Linked DNA regions of Mytilus edulis. The protein of the gene in region 1 binds, or shares a complex with, the protein of each later gene. Links are inferred from orthologs where the notes say so. Each region holds a gene or a part of one and is shown on either strand. Other genes may lie near its edges. The genes, in order: WD repeat-containing and planar cell polarity effector protein fritz homolog and protein fuzzy homolog.

Evidence for each region.
Region 2: the proteins of WD repeat-containing and planar cell polarity effector protein fritz homolog (region 1) and protein fuzzy homolog are in contact, whole or in part, in a cryo-EM structure (PDB 7Q3D), measured with the Homo sapiens proteins. The link is inferred for Mytilus edulis from reciprocal best matches to the Homo sapiens genes WDPCP and FUZ. Residues at the interface, in NP_056994.3 of Homo sapiens: Arg55, Ile57, Asn75, Lys78, Leu82, Glu418, Asp419, Arg420, Leu421; in NP_079405.2 of Homo sapiens: His293, Glu372, Glu373, Pro374, Arg379, Gln397, Pro399, Thr400, His401, Gly402, Ser405, Leu406.

What each region holds. Positions count from the first base shown.
Region 1 is NC_092346.1:82,339,424-82,343,354, reverse strand, and holds the start of WD repeat-containing and planar cell polarity effector protein fritz homolog, read right to left. Parts: upstream 3,153-3,931; 5' UTR 3,054-3,152; exon of another isoform or gene 2,934-3,053; intron 1-2,933. UniProt on the Homo sapiens protein: Probable effector of the planar cell polarity signaling pathway which regulates the septin cytoskeleton in both ciliogenesis and collective cell movements.
Region 2 is NC_092350.1:12,397,796-12,401,726, reverse strand, and holds the start of protein fuzzy homolog, read right to left. Parts: upstream 2,299-3,931; 5' UTR 2,269-2,298; coding exon 2,191-2,268; intron 1-2,190. UniProt on the Homo sapiens protein: Probable planar cell polarity effector involved in cilium biogenesis. May regulate protein and membrane transport to the cilium.

The DNA.
Region 1 (3,931 bases):
CCTATTTTCTTCAAAAGCCAAAAAAAATAATCATTTTCTCCTATGTTCTATTTTAGCCATAGGAGCTATGTTTCTTGACATACAAGGAAATAAAATATAAAATTTATACTAGATACTCTGAAACTCATTTAGCCTTAGTTTGGCTGAAATTGATACAGCAGTTTCAAAGGAGAAGATTTTTTAAAGTAAGTCAACATGATGAACAAATTGTGAAAAAAAGTCTTTAAAGGGCAATAACTCCTTAAGGGGTCAATTGACAATTTCCGTCAAATTGACTTAATTGAAGATCTTACTTTGCTGAACATTATTGCTGTTTACAGTTTATTTCTATCTATAATTATATTCAAGATAATAAACAAAAACAGCAAAATTTCCTTAAAATTATCAATTCAGGGGCAGCAACCCAACAACAGGTTGTCTGATTCATCTGAAAATTTCAGGGCAGATAGATCTTGACCTGATAAACAATTTTACCCACGTCAGATTTGCTCTAAATGCTTTGGTTTTTGAGTTATAAGCCAAAAACTGCATTTGACCCCTATGTTCTATTTTTAGCAATGGCGACTATGTTTGTTGATAGATCATAACTTCGGATACAATTTACAAACTAGATAACCTAAGGAACATTCAGTTAAAGTTTGGAAGTATTTGGCCCAGTAGTTTCAGAGGAGAAGATTTTTGTAAAAGATTACTAAGATTTACAAAAATGGTTAAAAATTGACTATAAAGGGCAATAACTCCTAAAGGGGTCAACTGACCATTTCCGTCATGTTGACTTATTTGTAAATCTTACTTTGCTGAACATTATTGCTGTTACAGTTTATCTCTATCTATAATAATATTCAAGATAATAACCAAAAACAGCAAAATTTCTTTAAAATTACCAATTCAGGGGCAGTAACCCAACAACAGGTTGTCTGATTCATCTGAAAATTTCAGGGCAGATAGATCTTGACCTGATAAACAATATTACCCCATGTCAGATTTGCTCTAAATGCTTTGGTTTTTGAGTTATAAGCCAAAAACTGCATTTGACCCCTATGTTCTATTTTTAGCCATGGCGACCATGTTTGTTGATAGATCACAACTTCGGATACAATTTACAAACTAGATACCCTAAGGAACATTCAGTTAAAGTTTGGAAGTATTTGGCCCAGTAGTTTCAGAGGAGAAGATTTTTGTAAAAGATTACTAAGATTTACGAAAAATGGTTAAAAATTGACTATAAAGGGCAATAACTCCTAAAGGGGTCAACTGACCATTTCCGTCATGTTGACTTATTTGTAAATCTTACTTTGCTGAACATTATTCCTATTTACAGTTTATCTCTATCTATAATAATATTCAAGATAATAACCAAAAACAGCAAAATTTCCTTAAAATTACCAATTCAGGGGCAGCAACCCAACAACGGGTTGTCTGATTCATCTGAAAATTTCAGGGCAGATAGATCTTGACCTGATAAACAATATTACCCCTGTCAGATTTGCTCTAAATGCTTTGGTTTTTGAGTTATAAGCCAAAAACTGCATTTGACCCCTATGTTCTATTTTTAGCAATGGCGACCATGTTTGTTGATAGATCAAAACTTCGGATACAATTTATAAATAAGATACCCTAAGGAACATTCAGTTAAAGTTTGAAAGTATTTGGCCCAGTAGTTTCAGAGGAGAAGATTCTTGAAATAGTTTACAACGACAGACGACGACAGACGACGGACGACGACGGACACCAAGTGATGGCATAAGCTCACTTGTCCCGCTAAAAAGGTCTGTATAACTGTGATTTTCAAATATATATAAAAGTCCAAAGCCACAAATTTTACAGCAAAAATTAGCATAGCGGAATGAAACTTTAACTTGATCTGTAACTCATCATGGATAACTCACGTACCAAATATCTGAAAGCATTTAGAACATGTAGAAAAAAAGTTTGTATAACCGTGATTTTCAACAATTTATCAAAGTCCATAGCCTGTAGTTTCGGCAAAAATTAGCCGAGCAAAACAAAACTTGAACTTGATCTGTAACTCATCTTGGTTAACTTACATGCCAAAAATCATCCCAATATCTGAAAGCATTAAGAAAAAAAGTCTCTATAACTGTGATTTTCAACATTTTTTCAAAGTCCAAAGCCTGTAATTTTTTTTGAAAAATTAGCAGAGCGGAACAAAACTTACACTTGATCTGTAACTCATCATGGTTAACTCACATATCACCATGTGATAATTAATAAATATGAGTTAGTAATTGTATTGTAACTGTATGTAAAAAATTGTTTGTATCTATGTATCTATGCAAATCAATATTCTTTTTCCTTATTCATGTATGCTCTGTATGCCCCTTGTGGGCCCTAAATTGGAAATAAAATATGTTCTGTTCTGTTCAGTTCTGTATCAAAAATCAGCTCAATATCTGAAGGCGTTTAGAAAAAAAACTCTGTATAACTGTGATTTTCACCAACTTATCAAAGTCCAAAGCCCGTAATTTTTTTTGAAAAATTAGTGGAGTGGAACGAAACTTAAACTTGATCTGTACCTCATCATGGTTAACTTACATATCGAAATTCAGCCCAATATCTGAAGGCGTTTAGAAAAAAACTCTGTATATAATGGTTTGTTGTGTAATGACAGAATTACGTAATTTCAGAATTACGGTCAAGGGTAAAACTATATGGCACTGACAACTTCTTTGCGGGGCCATAAAAATAATATATCAACATTCAATAATGTGAAGTGTCAAAACTAAAATTGTGGATTTGATCGTTCTCATAGGAAAAAATAATGTGGCTAATTAAATTTGCATTTATCCCTCGTTGAGTTTTATAACTTCCAGATTTTTTTGGAGGAATTTGAGAGTCGAATCTGTGTTTTAGGGGTTCGTATGGATAGTAAACCCGGCAATTGTAACAAGCCCCTGTGGTCTGAGACTCACCAATCAAAAGACAAAATGTTATCCAAAAAAGTCAATGAATTTTTCATAGGTTCATGAACAGCATAAATATAAGTCCTGTATCCGTTTATATCCGACTGTCTTAATTTTTAAAAATTATACCATAAGTCGAACCTAAATGTAATTTTGCATTCTTTCAAATTCTTTCAACTTTGTTTTCCTTTGCTACAAGGGAGATAACCTTGAGATTATGCTAAAACATAGTTAACTTAAACCGGGACCGATCGGAATGTTACAGACATATTATATTGTTTGTAACATATTGGTCCGATTTGTTGTCATTCATTCCACATAGTCATAGCGTTTGTCGGACTTATATTCAGGGGTGTAGAGGGCTTTCCTTATTTTGGAAAATATCAGTATTTCTGCCAGAATGTTTTTAAGCATAAAATACTCCAAAAGTGAACCATCTGCAAATCTACGGATATGAACGTAGATAACTTATAATATATCACCACCTAATCACTGAGACTACTATAACAGTATCGGATTTAATTATTTTTCTTTATAAATAGATTAAAAACAAAATTGAATGAGCGGGAAAAGGAAAATAATTTTTATTTTTCAAATTTTGTTATCACTAATGCCAGAGACATATAAAATCAACTTTTAAAGACTCTGAATCAGCAGTAAATTCATTTAATAATATACTATATGAAAATGCTTTGAAGTCTGCAAAACTAGTAAAGAAAGTCCCAGTCAGAAATAAAAATCAAAATAGGTCAAAAAGACGACCTTGGTACTCTGAATCTTGCCGTGAACTTGGCGTTACAGTAAAAAATTATGCAAAGTTAGTTAATAAACATCCCTATAATTCTGAATACAGACATAAATTTTATTCTTTCAGATCTAGACTTAGACGTCTATGTAAATATGAAGAAAATAAATACAAAAAAGATATATTTTCAGAACTTTATACATGTGAGAAAGACCCAAAGATGTTTTGGAACATCTTGAATAAATTAAGTATCAAAAAAGTA
Region 2 (3,931 bases), on another chromosome or scaffold:
TAATGGAACCCATTAGAATATCTAGGGATGGTGTTTACAAACTAATCAAAAACATAAACCCGAATAAAGCAACTGGTCCTGACACCATCGCAGGCAAAGTACTAAAACAAAACATCGAAATATGTACAGATATCCTCACTTTAATATTTACAAGATCACTACAAACAGGCAAAGTACCATCTGACTGGAACCACGCAAATGTCACACCTGTATTCAAAAAAGGGGATAAACACAACACAGGCAACTATAGGCCTATATCCTTAACATGCATAGCTTGTAAACTACTCGAACATATCTTTGCAAGCAGCATGATGAACCACTTAGAAACAAACAACACTCTATATGAATTACAACATGGATTTAGGGCAAAACGATCATGTGAATCACAAATCATCTCACTGATACATGAATTATTCCAAAACAACGACAAGAACATACAAACAGATCTTATTATCATGGATTTTGCTAAAGCTTTCGACAAGGTACCACACAAAAGATTACTATACAAAATGAAATACTTTGGCATATCAGATCAAATCATTAACTGGGTAGACTCCTTTCTTTCAAACAGAACACAAACAGTACTTTTAGAAAACATGTCATCTTCAAAAATACCAGTCTCATCAGGAGTCCCACAGGGTACAGTGCTAGGACCGATACTATTCTTAATTTACATAAATGACCTCCCAGATTACATCCAACATAGCAAAATCAGACTCTTTGCAGATGACAGTATAATCTACCGACAAATTAAAACTCAAAACGACTGCCTCAAGCTTCAAGAAGACCTACATGTAGAAGCTGCCATACAATGGGAAAAAGATTGGCTTATGTCTTTCCATCCAGACAAGTGTAACATCATGAATATAACAACAAAAAGAAATCCCATCCACTTTTATTATAACATGTATGGACACATCTTAGAACCTGTAAAACATGCAAAATACTTAGGCATCACCATCTCAGCAGACCTAAAATGGAACACCCACATCCAACAAACTGCTGCAAAAGCAAATAAATCCTTAGGTTTCATCAGAAGAAACCTTAAAGTCCAATCGCAAACAATTAAAGAAAGAGCATACCAAACACTCATAAGACCAAAGTTGGAATACTGTTGTACTGTATGGGACCCATTTACAAACGAAAATATAAAATCACTGGAAAAAGTACAAAGACGGGCAGCAAGGTATGTGTGCAATAGACATCACAACACCAGCAGTGTGTCTGAGATGCTAGATACCATGAAATGGCAAACATTACAAGAACGCCGACTACGAACAAGGCTTATAATGTTCCACAAAATTGTAAATGAAAAGATAGCCATTCCATCGCAAAATGTATTACAACAGAGTCAGTCTACTACAAGATCCACCAATAAAGAATCCTACAGACAAATTCATTGCAATAAAGACAGCTATAAATTTTCTTTCTTCTGTCAAACCATCAAAGACTGGAACAAACTAACACCTGAAATTACCAAAAACAGTACTACAGAAAACTTCAAGGATGCACTCACACACGACGTGCTCCTTGATACTTACCCTCATCTGAAATAAACAGATACTCTTGTTTTTATCTTATACCAAAAAACTAAAAATAAAAAATGTAATATTTAAAAACTAAATAAAAAAATTGTATAAATTAAAAACAAAGAAAAATTGTAAAAATTGAAAATACGAAAATATATGACCAAAAACAACTTTGAATAAGAAATATTTTGTTAATTTATATTTTGAGAAAAATTATCAACATAAATTTATTAAAAAACATTTACCAGGCATGCGCCGGAAAGTAAACATCAGTACGTTGATGGTTTTCTGTAACAAAAGAAGAAAGAAGAGTAAGCTCCCTTTCACCACATGTGAGCACATTTTCATATTTTTTTTTCAGTGGGAACTTCAAATATAAATCACAACTTTTTGTCAAAAAATCAATTCGTGTTCGGTTTTCATCAAAAATAAATATTAAGAAGATGGTTGAATGTTCCGAGACGTTGTTTCTACAAACTGTGTTTTATATAAACTGATTTTAGTCGAAACCACCGAAATCAAACGCAAAGGCCCAACCTCGTCGGCCTCGTGTCTATGCTGGACACAAGCCCGGCAAAAACACTCAAACACTAACGCTACAGTTTATATTGACTGAATGCATAGTCAATAATTCAAAATTATATGTATTTTTATAACCTACAGGCTTTAAACTGGCTGACATTCGGGTAAATAGAGGAACTCCTCCTCCTGTTGTCAAACATAAAATGTAGGTCGCCATTTCGATGTAAGTTTAACATACGCATGCGCTTACTTACCACAACTTTAGAATGATGGGTAAATAGCATGGCGATGAAGAAGCTGTAAACAGCATCTGTCAAATTTTCGGTTCAGTATATGGTAAGTTTTACTTGATGACAACAGGCACACTTAATGACAGGTAAGTCATGTTTCATGTTAGGTTCGTCCCTGGTAATGTAAAGGAATTTTATCGATCAGGATCTTCATTATTGCTTGTTTATTGGAGCACGTGCCCGCAACGCCAATCTGCCGTTACTCATTGTTTTCACTGTATTGGCCACACGACTTGTAATCTTTTGACCCAAGCTGTTACAAATGTTTTCACACATTATGTAATTTGTTTATACAGCAATTACAGTAGTTTTTATTAATGACAGTTTGTGTTGATAAACAATATTATACTTTTATTGAGAGACAAAGAAATTACGCGCCGTTTATTATTAGTCATCAGTGTGTATACTATATTTACTCAGTTCAATAACAAAGAAATTTAAGCCGAAGTATCGATCGATTTTCTCTCAATTAATAGGTCCTTCACAAAAGCAGTGCCAACAAAATTTAATTTAACAACTTCATCTTACTTTGGTTCAAAGTATTTTCAAAGTCAATTGAATTTTCACGAAGATAACCATTTATTGACAAAAGTAATTAGACATTCAGAAAGTTATTTGTGTATTGCTTAGCTATGATATTGGTTCAGAATGACAAAGATGTGACTTAATGTTTCTTTGTGTTTCTTCATTAGTCATTCTCCTTAATTTATTCATGGAAAACTTCCAAATGGACCAATTCTTAACCATAAAATGTATTACATCCGTTTAAAAACACATTGGTTATTCTCATGATTGATTTAATTTTGATACAGAATTCTAATAAAAGATTGAAAAGAAATATTCAGTTGACAATTTCTAATGTCACATCAAGGCACTCAATGTCAAACTTATATGACTTTTAGATTGAATGATTTATTTAGCTTTAAAAGATTAAAAGAAAAGTGATATAACAATTTTTGTTTAGATTATTAACAAGTTGGGATCCCTGACACAAGTTTTATATTATTGTTTATAAACATGAACTATTTGAAATACTTTTAAACAACTGAAGTCCTTGTTAAACACCGTTTAGAACCTATATCTTCTCTGTTCTACTGGAGGCTGTAAAATATCCAAAATACAGCAATTTTAAGAAACTAATTTTATAGATCTTATAGCTTTATTATATTATTGTAAATAAAATGTATGAAAATCATTATTAGCATGATTAGGAAATATGTCATTTAATTTTAAAGCTACAAAACATAATTTTTTTTCAAACAAAAAAAATGAAAATTCAATTCAATTTAAATTTGGTTCAAATGATATGATTGTTAAATTAATTCCTCTGTCTATTTCATTAGGTTATAAGAAGAGTAACTGAAGTCAATAGTAAAGAACATCAAGTGAAACAGCTCGCATCAAAAAGGCAGCATCAAAGTTTTTGTACTTCTAAAGGTAAGTGAAAAAGTGAAAAAGATAATATATTTAACTTTGAAACTTCTTTTTTTTTCACAACTATTTTAAAAATTTGGAAACCATGCTGATCACATTGATTAAATTTGTTAGATTAGTGTCAACATGATTATAGTTCTTTTGAAATATACAATT